3 linked regions of the Caenorhabditis elegans genome follow. The protein of the gene in region 3 purifies or fractionates together with the protein of the main gene of each other region. This does not show direct contact. Each region holds a gene or a part of one and is shown on either strand. Other genes may lie near its edges.

Region 1 (5,675 bases), on a different chromosome or scaffold from region 3:
ATGATCCTCACAGAAATCTTGTGATCTTTAATTTTCCGGTTGCGTAGGTTTTAAAATCAAGTTTTCAAAACATCTCAGGTCTGCGAACAACAGTTCCTATCACTTCATAATGTACTTTGTTGACAATTCGAGATTATCATTTAATATCATTCGAGCTGTTCGTTCCGCAACCTTTTCGTGCAAATCCATCTCACGATTATTTTAATCCGAAAGTATCGTAAACATCATGCATCATCGAGCAGACAAATTGAAAGCCTTGTTTATTCTCACCAGAGGCAAAAAGAATATAAAACTAGATCATAAAACGGGTCAACTTATTTTAAGATACAACCTATGACATAGATGGTGGTCTACTTAGACCTTTACAAATTTAGAAAACGATATGCTTGTTCTCATAAATTGTTCACTCTGACATCATTTTAAACCCACTGACCTCTTCGCCTACTCAATTATTTTTCAAAACGTTCGCATTTTTTCGCAACCTATGTTTTGAAAAGCTTATAAACAAGTTTGATATCCTTTCTACTTTGATTTTAAATAAGCTTTATTGATTCATATATATTCTTATTTTGATAAAATTGAAAATTAAGAGCATCCACAGCAGCTTTTAACTCCGTTCCAGTAAGCCAAGGTGTTGGCGTTGTGGCATCCACGTGGTCCTCCGTTGTGGTTACGGGACATGATCTGAAATTGAATGGATTGCCATTTGCTTGATTGAAATCTAAGGTCTTTTGTCCTAACTTGAACAAAACAACATACTTCTGAAAATGCTACGTAGTTTTCTGATTGTTAGTCCCACTATTATCAATTGTCAAATACACATGTCCACTCAATGAAATGATGTTAAAAAACTGCTCAAGTGTGACCAAAATGATTAAAAGATAAAGAATCGAGAAAAAATTGTAGTGTTTCTGTCGTCAGAATTTTCCAAAAATTGTCAGGAAGTATATGTACATTTTTTGGTGGAATACTACTTGGATGCTCTAGACATTTCTACGTCAGACCTGTTCAGGTCTGCAATAATTTCTCTATTCCAGAGGGTCGTTTCACCTACCTAGTGACTATGGCATATTAATGTTTTCCCCTGCTACCCAAAATAGAAATGTTCGACATTTAATTTTCAACCTCTTATAGTTAGTTGCGTAGTAGCATTCTTGCTCTAAATAAAAAACTCTGACCCCTTTTTCGCGGAAATTTTTGTATCTTTCCTAAAACTTCGCATCACTTTATGAAATATTTTGTTTCCTTCTGATCAATTCAAAAATCAAAATCGGGGGGCAACCTCCTCCAAACTACCAGACACTCGAAAACTTTAAATTGTATTTCATCTACACAATTTGAAAGTGCCCAGAGCAAAACAACAACTGCGTAGGCGACTCACCTGGCAAGCTCCCATTCCAAGTCCATTGCACTGAGACTTGTAGCGGTTGTAGTAGTTCTGAAATTATTTCAAAATGCTTGTATAACATGTAGATTTTAAAATTTTAGATTTCCTCTTTTGTATATGTGATTTTTGACGTATTCAATAAATTTTGTGAAGAGTGCAAACATTCATTCCGTATTAGAGTTCTTTAACCTCTTTTCAAGCCGTCATAATCTTTCTTTGCTACTTTTTATGGCGTGGTAAGCACGTTGTTAGCGGGGTGTTGATAACAATAAGTACTTATTGTCTTTGATGTCGTTAACGTCGCCACCGCTATAGCCATACATAGAAGCTAACAATGACGTTTTTTGCTGGGCTCGTTTGCTATGTGTGCATTTTTGTTTACAGGTTAATTCTGTGATTTTTGACATTATCTCGCAACTTATTTTGAGCTAGTTCCTTTTTTTCTAGTTCCGCCGTTGAAATTGCAGAAAAGTTACTCATCGCAGTATTGTCTACATGACGTTTAAATTAATTTGCCTCAATTAGCGGCAGATAGTAGAAATTTGAGTTCTCAGGTGGGCGATCCACGTAATTCGTACACTAAATTTAGTCGCGAAGTTTTTAATTTTGAGAATGATATGACGAGATTCCCAAAGGATAGAATTGCTTCCATGACTGAAATAAGCCGCAGTCTATCCGGAATTTTGCGATTTAAGGATGAAAAGTTGCACCCACTCAACACCCGTTTTCCCAAAATAAGAATTTTGATGATTTTTTTTGCATGTATCCTGTTGCTAAATCTGCACGTACCTCGACGCAAGTGGTAGCGCAGTTAAGATCATCAGCACATCTCTTCCAGGCAGCTTCAGTAGTCTCTCCAGCCTTCTTTGTTGGTTGTCCGCAGTCTTCATAGTATCCAATCTTGATCTAAAAGAAACATATTATATTTTTATTCTTTACTTTTTATAGTTGGGTCTTGGTACATTTAAAATTAAAAAAAACTGGAATACATAGAGTAGAGTTCAATTTTTGTATATCCTTGTTGTTGTTCCATACAATTTCCTTGTCTACATGGTTTTGAAAGTTTTCATTTCTAGTATGCCTTTTATCTTCTTAGCTTCAATGCAAAAGTTCCCCTATACAAAAATCAATCCCGTTTTAACATTTTCAAAGCATTTCCTGTCCATTTCCTCGGGAAAGTACGCATTTGCTCTTTTGTGGTTTTTTTGTTTTAGCAATTTAAAACATCGTTTCTTGTTATACATTTTTATCGAAAAAACTCAAAATTAAAATTCAACGCGATTTATTTTACCATACTGATTAGGAACTTCCGATTCGCTTGAGAAGAGATATGTGAAAAATATGGGGGCTGTGGTCCGATGAACCGTTTCAATTATGCTAGATTTTCATTAAAGAAATATCTGTTCAATGAGGCATAACAAACATTTCGTGCCGATTTCAAAAACCATCAATTAATGAAGACATGAAAGATGAGCTTTTGAATTTCACGTATTTTTCTGAAGTGTTATTGTTTCCTTATTTAAATGGCAAAACAATAAACAGGCAACCGAACATCTTGTATGGTTTCATGACAAAATTGAAAACGTGTTCTGATATTCTGCTATTTCCATTTCTAGATTCACATATTCCCTAGTTGATCTTGATTTACCTGATAGTATCCGCAGGAGAGGGATCCAACGTCCATGTGGCAACCGATTGGTTTGCATCCTGACTCTCTCATGCAGATGCAGTGGAGGCAGTCGGCGGAAACGTACGCAATAGCTGAAATACCGTAATCACGAAATAGTTCTATTCGCTGTCTCTGCCTTTTTTTAAAGTTTCAATTTATTTTTATTTTTCTCCTATTTCTTCGATCTATAATTGTTGTTACTTTTCCCTATTGTTTTTTACAAATGTGAAACACATATTTAGCTTTCAAAACGTGCTATTAGCTGTAAACCTATAATCAGATGTCCCGTGAGCCGAGAAATGATTTGAGCTAATATTAAGCGAACTTTCATCCGATAAAATTTTATAAACAAGCAAACAACAACAAGAGTTAACACTAAATATGGGAGTAGTTGAGTCTAGATTAATCTTTGGTTAGCCGATATTAAACTTTAAATGACGTTTCATTCTTTGTTTTTAAAAGAAGATATTACCAGCCTTATGGAAATTAAAAATTTCTCTAGTTTTGTTTTAATTGATTGAACGCATCAGTGTTCAGACTTATCGAAACATTTTCAACTGATAACTAAAAAAAAAAGAAAATGTAAACATTGAAATTAAATTAGCACCTTAAAAATCCAATTTCATGTTGGTTTTGATCTAATTCTTTTGAGCTGGTGATTTACTAGATCTTATACAATTTTGCTGTTCACTGAAACCAGTTTTAATTTTGTTATCACACTCACCGACAGAAAGGAGCAGAAGCGATTTGACAAACATATCGGCTGATGGACAAGCTGTCTGAGTTTGCTAACTTTTGGACTCTCTTTTATATCAACTTACACGTGCCTTTGATCACAATTCCTTATCTCAAAACCCGGTAATTCCTACGTAAGCACCTGTACCGAAGACTGTCAGAGGCGGAGTTACAGCTCTGTGATCGCAGAGCGAAAGAGCAATTGATGCCACTTTCAATGCCAATCAAAGTGTGGCATGGATAGTTCTAGAAAAACGTATATCCTTCCCCAGAAAACCAACACAATGCAACAAATCAGAAATCTTGTGATTATTGAAATGGACTGCAATTTTCCGTGAAAGGATACACCTCTGTTGCTAATCTTATAATCCAATCTTCGGGTCAAAAAGAACGCGGCTTCCTAATATACTTTTGATTGGTGGGGGTGGACGAGGAAATACTCTGAAATAGGATCAAGATTATATTTATTTGTGTCTTTGACCATTTTTTTTGTTATTCAAATTTCAATGAGGTAATATTTAGATTTTCGTATTTATGTGATGATGTTTTTTTCTTATAAAGTTCCATTAAAAATAATATTGAGCTAATTTTTGAACCGACGTTTTTCAGTTCCCCAGATACATCTCGAACCAGCATTCTTTTCACAAAACAAGCGTGTTTTTCTCTTTTAACACAAAGATTATTTGTAAAAACCCTAACTACGATCAGGTAGTAGGTAAATTTTTCTAATGAGTAAGCTTTAGTTTCCGGCTCAACAACTTTGTGCAAGGGTTAAGTCATGTGAAACTGAAAAAAAACTCATTCAAGCTTGATTATTTTCACTAAAATGTTAAAAGGACAATTCAAGTACAAGTAGAATAATCTAAACAAAAACCAAAACAGTAAACAATCAAACATCGAACAATTCAATTTTTATTCATTTTATAATAATGTTTTTGAATACGGACGGTTTTTGTAAATTCAATTGACCGTGAATTCCGTAACGACGGGAGCTTTAGGAAATTTCATTCAATACAAGTATATCACTCACTAATGAGTGAATAGACAGTAAATCCAAGCAGTTACGACGTTCACGCGGATTTACCTTAGTTTACACACTGAATCCTCGTTCCGCATTGCTCTCTTCAGTAGTGCAGTCTGTTTTGTCATAATTCATTCATTATGTGTGACGACGTCATTTGAGAGCCTGAATTGGAATAATCGTGACTAAAAACGCAACAAAACCACTTGGTTGTCGCATCAATTATCCAGTCTAGAACTTTGCCACAAGTTTTTACTTTTCGATCTTCATTGTTACATTTTAGACGCTTTTATGGAGAATTGTTTTCTTTTGTCATGCTCTTCCAGCAAACCAAACTAGGTGCGTATTTCCTTGTCTACAGTTTGTGCTATCAAATAATGAAACACAAACCGTTTTTGTTATAATATGATCTGTAAATAGTGCGATCGGCATGGTTTCGCCTCGTTAAGACTTTTCGGAAACGAATGAACATTATCAGTTGATATCAAAAATTGCTCCGATTCCATCGCAATTTGGTTTTGCTTCATAGACATGGGTGTGCTGGGAGATTGGAAGAAGCGGCAGAGAAAATTGAAATTCAAGACCAATTTCCTTCGTGCAAACCATTCTGATAAGTATGTACCAAGTAGTTTCTAAAAACTCTTCTTTAGTTCCGTAAAAATCATAAAATGTGTGGTAACATGTGACTTTATACATAGACTGTTACATTGGTTATAGTAGGAATGTTCTGAATTGGTCGGACGCTTCACACACTTAAATGAAAATTATCTTGTTTGATTATTCAACACAATAACAAAAAGATAACAAGGGAATGATAATATTTTTATCTAATAAAAACAAACTTACTCCCAGAAGCGCATGTT
Region 2 (3,562 bases), 2.7 Mb from region 3:
ACACAATTTCATAATCTCGCGCAAAAGAGGCGTAGGCATTTACCGCAGCCTACGTGCCTGCCTACAGCCTAATTTCTGGGAAGGTGCCTGATGAACAATGATTTCCTATGGAATTTGTCTTTGAAATAATTTAAGTCTCACTTTGAAACACAAACGTGCTTTCTTTTGAGGGTTATACACCTGCCTTTGAAAAGACTATCCTCCAAAAATAAATAAAAGATTACATATTTATTGTGCCCACCGAAATTTGAAAATTCTTATTATGTTCATGTTCCAGAAAACGACGCTTTTGTAATTTTTGACAATAAAAGTCAAATTAACATTATGACGTGATTGGTTTTGTGCTTTGAACATTGTGTCTCACCAGGGAATGTTCGGAAAGTTTTAGCTATGATGGTAAACCACAAAGGAAGGCGGTGTAGGTCTGATTTGTACCTAAAAGCATGCCTACTTCCCAGGCTTTTGTAAATATCCTGTATATTTCAACACTCTTGCAATGCAAAAAGCTTCTATAGAAACATCCTGCTGAAAACTTTACCATAAAATTTTTAAAAGAACAATTCATTCAAGATATTTTAGAAACATCGATTTCCATTAAAACAAATTAGCAAAAAATTGCTTCTTGAAATATGAATTAAAAAATAATACAAAATTGCAAACTCATTTCAATTTAGAATGGGTAATCTGGACGGTTTGCAATATACTTCTGAATTCTGTCGATGCTCTGAACCTTCTTACGATGTGCCAAAACCTTCTTGAACTCCTCAACAACTGCCAAATCTTTATCCAAAATATCTTGAACGTGCTGCGAAATCAAAAGATCCACCCATGTCAAAGAGTTTCCAACAAAGAAACCACTGTGATTAGATGCCAGAATGTTCTCGAAAAACTCGAAATTCTTTTTGAAAGCTGGAACAAAAACATCAGTTCTCAGTTGATCCTTGTCTCCAGGTTTGAATCCAGCAAGAACTGTTAAATATGGGGAGACATCGTTGAGATAATCCTTGAATTGATCAGCAATTGCATCCACTTCTGCCGCCTCGGTGTCATTTTGTCCAGCAATTCCGAACTCTCTGGCCAAGTACCGAGCAATTGCATATGACTGTCCCAATGGTTTTCCATCGACTTCCAAAATTGGCAATTGACCGAATGGAGTGTCTAGAAATTTGAAATTTGAGGAGAAGTGTTTTAAAATAAAATCTAATCTTAATTTTAAAAAAGTATGAAGGTCTTAGAAAATTTTTCGGATTAGTTCGATCTCCAGGAGCGACTTTTCCACAGTGTCCAAGATGTTGTCAGAAAGCACAATTCCATAAAAAGTTTCAAGCATCAAGTTTTCCTCGTACCTACAACCTTTTTTCTGAACTTCTGACTGATCACCCTAAATCAGGAAATAAAAAAAACAATCAGAAGCATAATCCCAATTTGCAAAGTGATTTTTTTAAAGTATTGAATCATGGAATACTGTTCTAGTTCGGATGTGAAAAGTTAGAGAACTTTTGTTTGCAATTATCTACAATTTAAAAAATAAACAAATACCGAAATGTATGAAACGTAGTTTTCAAGTTTTGAAACCATTTATCTTTGCCAAAAGTGTATAAACTCACTATTTTTGCGTGCTGGCCATTGTTCAAAGCTCAGATTCTCCTCGGAATAATCCTGTCCTGCATAGGCAAAGATTTGTCGAGCAATTTCAGCACGGGCTCTTAATGGGAAGTAGACGAGCTTGTAGTGAACCATTTCGTGAAATTTTTTCCTACAAAATGAATGTGAATTATCATCAAATACTGGGTTATTCTTATCATTTTTTGTGTGCTCTACTATCATTATTTACTTTTCAATATATGACTGAAGATATTTGATGACAAAACCAAAACTTGAGAGCACAGCGTTTTTCGGATCACTTTCAAGATTGACTATAGTATGATCAACCGTGATTTCAGAAATCAAAAAGGCTTTGAGAGGATAATTAATTTTAAAGCTTTATGGGGAATATACAGTCTGTTACTTCTTGATATCATGTCAATTCTTGATAATTTCTTTTTTGGAAAGACCTGAAATTAAGAAAAAAACACATAATTGCTTACTTATTAAAATAGATTTAGGAACATTTATAGGATGCGTACAATTTCGCCGATTAAAATTGAAATTCTGAAATTTTGGTAATTTCTGATTTCCGGCAAAATGCCGGTTTACCGTTATTGCCGGTTTCCCGTTTTTTTGCCGTAAAAAAACATTTGCCGCTCACACCTGAAGTGCCTTAGAGTTGCATTTCTTTTCCTATACTTTCATATTTTCAAAGTTCCAATCTTGGTATACATCACACTCAACGGACCAAATAACTTCCTAAAATCGCTAAACTGAGCATCTTCAAACTGGCGTATCTCGAAAAATACAAGTCTGAAAAACAATTTTTAACTAACAAAATGATCAGAAACATTTGTTCTTTCTATTACATTAATTTGTATATCAACAACTTTTTGTAGAGTTACACAGAGTCAAAGCCATTTTTCCAAAATTCAAAGAAAAATTTGAGAACTCTTTTGTTGTACCCTTTATAACTCAATATTCATTGAATTTCAAAAGATAAATTTTGTTAAGTAGTAAGTGAAAAATATTTCTCCACATTTTATCCGTTTTAAGTTTTTCGATATTTTCATGTTCCGCCAAGTTATAGACCGTTTTCTGAAAAAATCCAATCTCCGTCATAAAAATCTTCATATCCAACGTATCGACTTGAAATTTTGAAAAATGATCATTTTTTTGAGGTTTCTACAATGTCCTAGAAAATCTTTCAAAAATGTGGGCTCATCTCCAAAATCGTCCTCCGCTCCAAAATAAGAAATGGGACTTTTGCTTTTCGAAAAATGAGCGGAAAAATGAAATTGCGATTTTTGGGTCGAAAAAAATATTTTTAGAAAGCTGAGAACACGCTATTTACGAATTTCATGTTCATTTTAAGTGATTTCTTCTCTGAAACGACCTAAAAATTCTCTGTGCAACTCTGCAAATAATTAGTTTTTTGCAGTGAAAAGTAATGCAAATAAAAGTAAAAATATTTTGAATCATTTTGTTAGTTAGCAATTTTTGCTCAAGACTTGTATTTTTCCAGATACGGCAGCTTGAAGTTACGCAATTTAGTGGGTTTAGAAAATTAAGTTGACCACCGAGGCTTCCACTTTTGCTGGCAAGTTTATCCGTTTTGCAATTCAATTTTTTCAAATCTGCGATATTAGTAGAATTTTTGATTAATTGTTATTATCGTGAATATAGCAAAAAAGTGAACATTCACATTTTTGTGAAACTATTTTTTTGGAAATTTACTCTTGCTGGTATGACTATACCTTGTTTTCAGATATCATTAACTTTTTATTCTCATTCCATTTCTGTCTCACTCATTTTCATTTTCAATCCTTTTCTCTCTTTTTCCATCACTTTTTCGTTTTTCATCGTCGGACGGACGAGAGACCTCACCAAGTACCACACCACAACAGGCAGCAGTTTATTAGCAAGTTTCTCACGTCTCTCGTTTTCAGGAAACGTTGGAAAATGGAAGAATGAT
Region 3 (7,776 bases):
AAAAATTTTTCTCCGTCAATTTCCCAACACATTTTCCAATTTTCAGTCATTTTCTGAAGCCCGGAGCAGTTCGAATCGACCATTCACTGAACATGCCAAACCCAGAAATTGAACGAAGTGCATTTTTGAATCCGGATGGCTCAAAAGTCGTGGTGCTCCATAATAAAAATCCTTTGGCACCATATAGTTTATCAATTAAGGATACTATGAAGTCTACTGATCATTATCAAGTTCATTTATCACCTAAAACAATTGTTACGTTGTATATTCAAAATTAGAATAAAATATCAATTTTTTAAAATTTTATTTTTGAAAAATTTAAAAAATCGTGTTGAAACCTGAACTTTTAGTGTAAAAATTTGAATTATTCATTCAATTTCTGAAATTTTAAGCCCCATATCGACTAGAATCGGTTCACTTTGAAATTTGAGCCCCGCGGCGCGGTCGCATCGCGGTCCAAAACTACTAAAATTTAAAAATTGTTTAATACATGCCAATATGGGTGTTAAATGGATGGAAATTTTTAGAAAAATTCGAAAACATGCATAAAAAAGTTTAAAACTATAGGTAAGATGAGTTTTCGATTTTCGACCGCGACGCGACCGCGCCGCTTTCAAAAATTTAAGTTTTATATTGCCTCAAATCATAGCATTGCAGGTGTCAAAGTGATGCAAAATAGCTTGAAACTTAAATTATTCGAACAGACATCCTCTAAAAACGTGGAAAACTTTTTATCTAGCGACTTTTTAGTCTGGACCGCGACGCGACCGCGCCGCGTCCCAAAAACCACCAAAATTTCAAACTGCTTCAAAACATGTCAATATGGGGGTCAAATTGACGCAAATTTTATGAAAAATCCAACAATCAACATGAAAACTTATTTAATAAGCAATTTTTGTCGAAAAATCCACTAAAACTGTGAAGTTTGAATATACAAAGTGGTAATAGCTCGATGTGGAAGTGTAAAATGATAGTGATTACGGCTATCAGCAGCATCCTGGACAACTACTGTGTGCTCCGTTGAGACTAGCTGAAAATTTAGAAATTTTCGGCTGAAAAGTTGGACTTTCAGCACAAACCGAGCCCTTATTGAGCATTACAATAACTTTTGAGCCATCAGGATTCAAAAATGCGGTGGTTTCAACTTCCAGCTCAATTACATTTAATGAGTGGTCGATTCTTACTGCTCCAGGCTTGATGAAGTGACTGAAAATTAGTTATTGCGAAATCCAGTGTTTTCGTGAATTTTTAGATGGTAGAAATTTTTTCTGAAAATTTACAGTTTGAAATTCAAATTCTCCGTACTTCAATTAGTCTGATTCTGAATTTTTAGCTCAAGTTTCGAAAATTGCGCCAAGTTCGGTGTTTTGGGGTACCGTAGTCGGTGTTTGCGTACTTTTGGAGCTACAGTAACCCGGGAATTTTCAAAATTGAGCTAGAAAGATCTAGTTTTTGAGACTCAATCTAAAATTTTGCAGGAAACTCGTATTTGAGCTCAAAAACTCAAAAAATTTCAGAATTTCATCGATATTCAGATGTTTTTGTCGTTTTGGTTAGGTTCCAAAACAATTCTCAGCATTTTTAATATCAAATTCAAATTCTCCACTATTTTCTTAGTATATCTGTGAATTTTTAGTTCAAAATTCGAAAATTGCGTGAAATGCGGTGTTTTGGGGTACTGTAGTCGGTGTTTGCGTACTTTTGGAGCTACAGTAACCCTCGAAATCTCAAAATCGAGCTAGAAACTTCTAGTTTTTGATTTCAAAACTAAAATTATACGAGAAATTCGAATTTCTGTTTGAAAACTTGGAAAATTGCGTGTTAAGCTGCTTTTCAGACAGTTTTAGAAAATTTTCAACAAAAATTTCCCAAAAAATTTCAATTTTTATATTTTCTAGATCCAATTTTAACGACAAATTCTAATATTTTAGTTATTTCATGCAGAAACTAATAGAAACCTACCTAAAATGTGCAATCGCATAAAACATGGGCTGCTTGTAGAATTGAGCCATCGCTGGGAACGCAATGACCGGCGCATCTGTGTAGTCGGACACCCATGATGGACCACCCAGGGCGTCTAGGATTAGGTTACGTTCTGTCCAGCCAGTCATCCAGTTGTTCATGTTCTGGAAAAAAATGTAGAAAAAAAAATTATGAAAAAAAAAATTTGAAAAAAAAATTAAAATTTTGAAATTTTTTTTCCGAACTTTTCCCCAATTTTCTAGAAATTTCTTCAAAACTATATTTTCTCTTACATCTAAAATATCTGAAGCAGTATCTGCTGCACGATCCCAATTTCCATAATCCACGTGGGTGTCCTTGGACCCGTAGCCTTCGGAAGCCTGAAATTTTGGGCCTAAATTTATTTTTCTGCCTAAAAACTAAAATTTACCTCAGTGCCTAAAATAAAAAAATTTGGATGTTTTTTGTGAGTCTCATCCAAGTGATTATCAGTTTCTCCGTCTTGATATGCGTGAACCCCGATACCGCCCACGTACTTTGCGGCGTCCATGTCGTTTAGAACCTGGAAATTGAGAATTTTGAGTATGAAATTCGAACTCTCCGTAAAATTTGCAAAATTTTAAGCCCCATATCGACTTTATTCGGATAAGTTTGAAATTTAGGGCTTGCGGCGCGGTCGCGTCGCGGTCAGGTTTTCATAAACTTGTTTTAACGTAGCCTTGGGCTTTCAAAACATGAAAATTTGAATTTTTCGTGAAATTTGCTGAAATTTGACACCCATATCGGCTATATTCGGACAAGTTTGAAATTTGTGGCATGCGGTGCGGTTGCGTCGCGGTAAAAATTCTACCAATTTTTGAAAACGCTCGAAATTGTTGTTAAAAACAATTGGTTGCTGCAAAATTATTATCTATAATGTCTTGGAAGCGTACCAGACGTCACAGTTCGCCCCAGCTCGATATGAAAAAATTTGACCGCGACGCGACCGCACCGCAAGTCCAAAATTTCAAAATGATCCAAAATAGGTCAATATGGGTGTCAAAACTTTGCAAATTGTACGGAGATTCCAAATTTGACAACATTAACTTACAGTATCTGCCCATTTCGGCAAGTTTCCTCGATTATCGTCCAGAATCAGAAGTTTCACATCTTTTCCAGAACTTGAAGCAGCCAGGGCTGGTCCCAAGTCAGTTTTTATGAAATCTCGTTGTGTTTCAGCTGTGAAAAGTGTCGATTGTATTTTATTCTTCTTATCGGAGCCTAATGTTGGCTGGTTTTGAGTTGAAAGTCCCCAGAATGAGATTCCAGATTTTCCGTACTCCTCGAGGAATCTGAAATTCGAAAAAAAACTCTGATATAGTCTGAAAATAGTTGAATTACCTGACAAAATATTTGGCGTATGCCTGATGATAGTTATCCCCAGCTTTTCCGTTAAGAGCCCCAGGTCCTGTCATTTCTTTAGTAGTCTTAAGCCATCCTGAAATTATTGAAACAATTTTTTTCTTAGGAAAAACAGACAATTTTCGAGCGTTGGCATTTAAATTTCCGAATTAAGCGCAAAATTTTCGTTAATTTGACACCAATCTCGACTATAATCGGACAACTTTGAAAATTAGGCAGATGCGTTGCGGTCGCGTCGCGGTCGAATTTTCAAAAGTGTGTTTAGAAGCGATTATGTGATTTGCAGCTAAATTTTTTGAATTCTCCGTAAAATTCGCGGAATTTTGATATATTGACTATATTTGGAAAAGTTTTAAATTTAGGATATGCGGTGCGGCCGCGTCGCGGTCCGGAATTAGAATTTCGAAATTTGTACCAAAAGTGCGCCAAACTTGTGTTTAATCTAACACAGAAAAATTTAAATACTGCCAAACAGCAGGAAACCCTGATTTTTAATCAGTTAACGCTCCACTTTATTTTCTGGGCCGCGACGCGACCGCGCCGCATGGCCAAAAATTCAACTTGCACCGAATATAGTCAATATGGGGCTTAAAACTCAGCAAATTTTGTGCTAAATTCAAAAATCTTAGTGAGAAACATTACCTGGTGCTGCCCACGGAGCTGCAAATAACTTCAAGTTCGGATTGTACTTCTGCGCGTTTTTGATGTATGGGATCTAAAAATTTTTAAGAGTAAATTTAAAGTTGCGTTGAAATAAACTCACTTTCCACTGGAAATCTTCCTTAGTCAAATTAAAATTCTGCATTGAATAATCATTTGCGACATCGTTATAACTGTAAACTCGACCCGAAAAATCTGTGCTGGCTATTGGAACTCTACCGAATTGGAGGTTAAGTCCTGGAAAAAAATTCAATGGAGCGCACTTGCAATACTGAAAGTTGTAGAATTTGAAATTTCCTAGCGAATGACATATACTTAATTTGAAAATTGTTTGATGTTGCAAGTGCGCTCCACTGAACTTTTGGAATAACTTTCTTCAAATCGGTTCTAGAGAGTTGGGGTAAGAGAGAAAACTGTAGAGAAAATTGTGATCTATCAATTGCAATTAATTTCAAAATTTAATTTCCAAATTTGCAACTGCGCTCTACTGAACTATCGACGTAACTTTTTTCTCAGTGGTCCTAAAAACCTAAACTTTTTTGCAATTGGCCAGTTTCAGCTTAAGCTGTTTAAAAAATGCTAACCTGTATCCGAAAAATATTGTTTCATAATCAAATCCGACAATTTGTCCGGCAAACTCTTCAGGTTTGCACCAGAAGCATCGGAAAATGTGGAGCCAAATCCTTGGATCGTCTGGTATTTTTTGGAGGAGTCAATTGTCATGTGCAGGGTTCCGACTGAAAATTTTAGGGTTTTCAATTCAAAAATTAGAATTTTTGTAAAAAATTAGTAAAGGAACATTTTTTTAGGTACAAGGAAAATTTATTTTAAGAACAAAAAAAAATTCAAAAACTAAAAAATTTCAAAAATATTTTTTAAGCTTCGAAAATTTTTTTCAAACTTGTTTCAGCTGAAAATTCCACAACTCACATGGCTCAGTATCCGTCGCATAGATGACATCCCTGTGGAGCCGGGCGCCGGTATGGGAGGTGGTGTAGAGTGCCGCCTGACCCATAGTGATGTCCAGAGGTGGAATCTGGAATTTTTATACAATTTTTTGAATTTTTCGTGAAATTTTGGTTCAGGAAAGTGTCGGATTTGGCTTAAAGTAACAATTAAAATTAAAAAAAAGGGAAAAAATTTTCTTTTGGAAAATTACCTTTTTTTATTTTTTGAAAATTTTAGATTAAAAAAAAGCGACTGGTTAAAATGCATTTTCATGGGGATTTTCGAGTTTCCCGTGAAATTTCCTTTGATTTGACACCCATATTGGCTATATTCAGACAAAAACTGAATTTTGGTCATGCGTCGCGGCTGCGTCGCGGTCAAACTTTATAGACCCCCTTTAACCAGTTTTAAAGATTCTTTTTGGATAATCTCAATCAATTTTACTTAGTTTCTAAAAATCCTTGCTTGATTCATTGGTTTCTACAAGAATTCTAAAATTTTCAAGTCCGACCGCGACGCGACCGCGCCGCAGGGGAAACTAATTCAAATTTCAAATTTTATGAAATATGGCCGATATTGGTGTTAAATCAACGGTAATTGCGAGGAGAATTCAAAAATTTATATGAAATTTTCATAACAATTTTGGTTTTCAATTTTTTTTCCAAAAATGTTTTTTTTTTCAAATCTCACCTCATCGCAAGAATCGAGACTACAAACGCATACTGTTCCGGTTTTAAATGTTTTTTCCGTACAATCAGCTGCCCGGACACTATCTGAAAAGCGGGATTTCGGAGTGTCGTAGTTCTTGAAAAATTCGACCTACCAACTCCAAAAACCGCTAAAAATATGAAGATTTTCAATAAAAATCGTGACTTCATTTTGTGAAAAAATGGCACAAAATGACGACTAAAGTCTCGTAGTTTTGGCGTTTTTATGAAGTTTATCAGTGTTTCTTATCAGTACCCGGTTCATAGAACACGTGGTGGAATTTACGGAAATTGTGACGATAGTTTTGGAACATAGAACAAAATATGATTATAATTAGGTAAAATTTTTGATGTCAAAAGTTTTTTTGCAAGAAAAATCTGAGTGCAAAGCGAGATTTTGTACAATTTCAAGTTCAAATTCGAGTTGCTCACAAAATTCCAGGCAGGACCCCTGAAATTAGAGCTTTCTAGCTCAATTGTGAAAATTCAGGGGTTACGGTAGCGCCAAAAGTACGCAAACACCAAATTTCACGCGATTTTTGAAATTTGAGCTGAAATTTTTATTGTAGACTAAGAAAAACACGGAGAATCCAAATTACATATTTAAAAATCTGAGCAATTTTCTTAAAAATCAGAAATTTGGCTGAAATTCTACAATTTTGAATTTTCACTCAAAAAACCCGAAAACTATTGATTTTTCAGGGGAAAAAACCAAAAAGCATGAGAAGTGAGCCCAGTAACCATTAAATTCCAAAAATTACAATTCGAGGGTTACGGTAGCGCCAAAAATACGCAAACACCGCCAAAACATTGAATTTTACGCTCACGGACCGACAAGTGGTACATCCATGCAAACGCGCTCTACTGATAATTTGAGTGTAGACCAGGTTTGGGCGCGTGATAACGAAAAAAGCTTTGGTCCAAAAAATTTAGAATTTAATTTCGGACATTTTTTATATGCATCACAAAAAAACTGGACCAACCGTTTTTGAGATACTTGCGCCCAAACTTCCAGGTATACGGTAGACAAATTGCGTACAGGTACCACTTCTCGGGCCGTGACGCTGAGATTTGGGTCGTAGAGGAAAATTACTATAATTTCAAATTAAATGCTTAAAACTTTTTGAAAAACTTGTCGGAAGTCATAAAATCCAATAATTTTGAAAAAATTGCACTATTAAAACTGGAAAACTGGATGCAAATTTCTCCAATTTGATGGCCTTCGAAATTTGAGCCGCGACGCGACCGCAACGCAGCTTGAAAATTATGTCCTTCTGGTCTTCTTTTTCGCGCTCCATTGATAATCGCCGCCGGATAACACGTGGGAAAGTCGTGGGAAGCCAAGCCGCGACGCGGCACACAACGCGCCGTAAATTTACCCCGGCAGTGGCTGAGTCAAGCTGGCCTAATTCGGCAAACTCTTACATTTCAAAATATGAAGAAAATTCACGCATATTTTATTTTCTAATGGAATTTTTTAAAATAAATTTTGATTCATAAGCGTGAAACTTTAAATTAAAAAAAAAAAATTTGAATTTCCAAAATTCGAAAAACAGATCAGTTTCCCGTGACCCCATAAAATCCCTGCCACCTCACCAAAAAACCCCACTATATAAGAAGCGATTTCCCTCCGAAACAATCAGTTCAAACTATCAAAATGAACACCATCGTCTGCCTGGTTGGAGTTTTCCTTCTGGTTTCCGGTAAGTTTTTTGTTTTTTTTTTGTTCAGGCTTGTTTTCCTAAACAAGAATAATTTACAGCTCCATGTGCGTATTCGAAGAAGATGGCGAATACTGACCTTCTTGAAAAAGCCAACGAAATTTTTCAAAAAGAGTTTAAGGATGGTAAATTGATGAGTGAAGGGGAAAATAGTTTCTAAACCTCAGCCTTATTTTTTAAGGTGTTCGACGAGAAGTTGGTGCATATTGCAATGGAGACTGCATGTGGTAAGCCTCCCAAAGATATGGGCATCATCACTCTTGGGGATGGATATGTAAGTTGAATTATATTTTCTAATTTTATATTTATACTATTTTTTCAGGAAGCCTCGGAAAACATTGCGGCACATCATGACCGAGTAGCTTGTATTGAGAAAA

What was found.
Region 1: the proteins of gba-1 (region 3) and ilys-5 fractionate together in Caenorhabditis elegans (co-fractionation; one large-scale study listed by BioGRID). This does not show direct contact.
Region 2: the proteins of gba-1 (region 3) and gst-6 fractionate together in Caenorhabditis elegans (co-fractionation; one large-scale study listed by BioGRID). This does not show direct contact.

What each region holds. Positions count from the first base shown.
Region 1 is NC_003284.9:6,532,964-6,538,638, forward strand, and holds ilys-5 (lysozyme), read right to left. Parts: upstream 3,878-5,675; 5' UTR 3,815-3,877; coding exon 3,781-3,814; intron 3,149-3,780; coding exon 3,036-3,148; exon of another isoform or gene 2,294-3,035; coding exon 2,177-2,293; intron 1,439-2,176; coding exon 1,382-1,438; intron 685-1,381; coding exon 586-684; 3' UTR 527-585; downstream 1-526.
Region 2 is NC_003280.10:4,878,094-4,881,655, reverse strand, and holds gst-6 (putative glutathione S-transferase 6), read right to left. Parts: upstream 1,766-3,562; 5' UTR 1,741-1,765; coding exon 1,608-1,740; intron 1,159-1,607; coding exon 671-1,158; 3' UTR 551-670; downstream 1-550. UniProt on the Caenorhabditis elegans protein: Conjugation of reduced glutathione to a wide number of exogenous and endogenous hydrophobic electrophiles.
Region 3 is NC_003280.10:2,175,020-2,182,795, reverse strand, and holds gba-1 (Putative glucosylceramidase 1), read right to left. Parts: upstream 6,056-7,776; 5' UTR 5,850-6,055; coding exon 5,795-5,849; intron 5,745-5,794; coding exon 5,662-5,744; intron 5,060-5,661; coding exon 4,954-5,059; intron 4,761-4,953; coding exon 4,608-4,760; intron 4,261-4,607; coding exon 4,127-4,260; intron 4,079-4,126; coding exon 4,006-4,078; intron 3,440-4,005; coding exon 3,343-3,439; intron 3,294-3,342; coding exon 3,053-3,293; intron 2,525-3,052; coding exon 2,393-2,524; intron 2,343-2,392; coding exon 2,256-2,342; intron 2,127-2,255; coding exon 1,963-2,126; intron 1,207-1,962; coding exon 1,080-1,206; intron 1,031-1,079; coding exon 911-1,030; 3' UTR 286-910; downstream 1-285. Other genes in the region: gba-2 (Putative glucosylceramidase 2), read left to right, coding at 47-278; C33C12.7 (AMP-binding_C domain-containing protein), read left to right, coding at 7,522-7,524, 7,581-7,673, 7,722-7,776. UniProt on the Caenorhabditis elegans protein: Glucosylceramidase that catalyzes the hydrolysis of glucosylceramides into free ceramides and glucose. C.elegans contains specific sphingoid bases, which are unique or different in structure compared to the sphingoid bases found in other animals.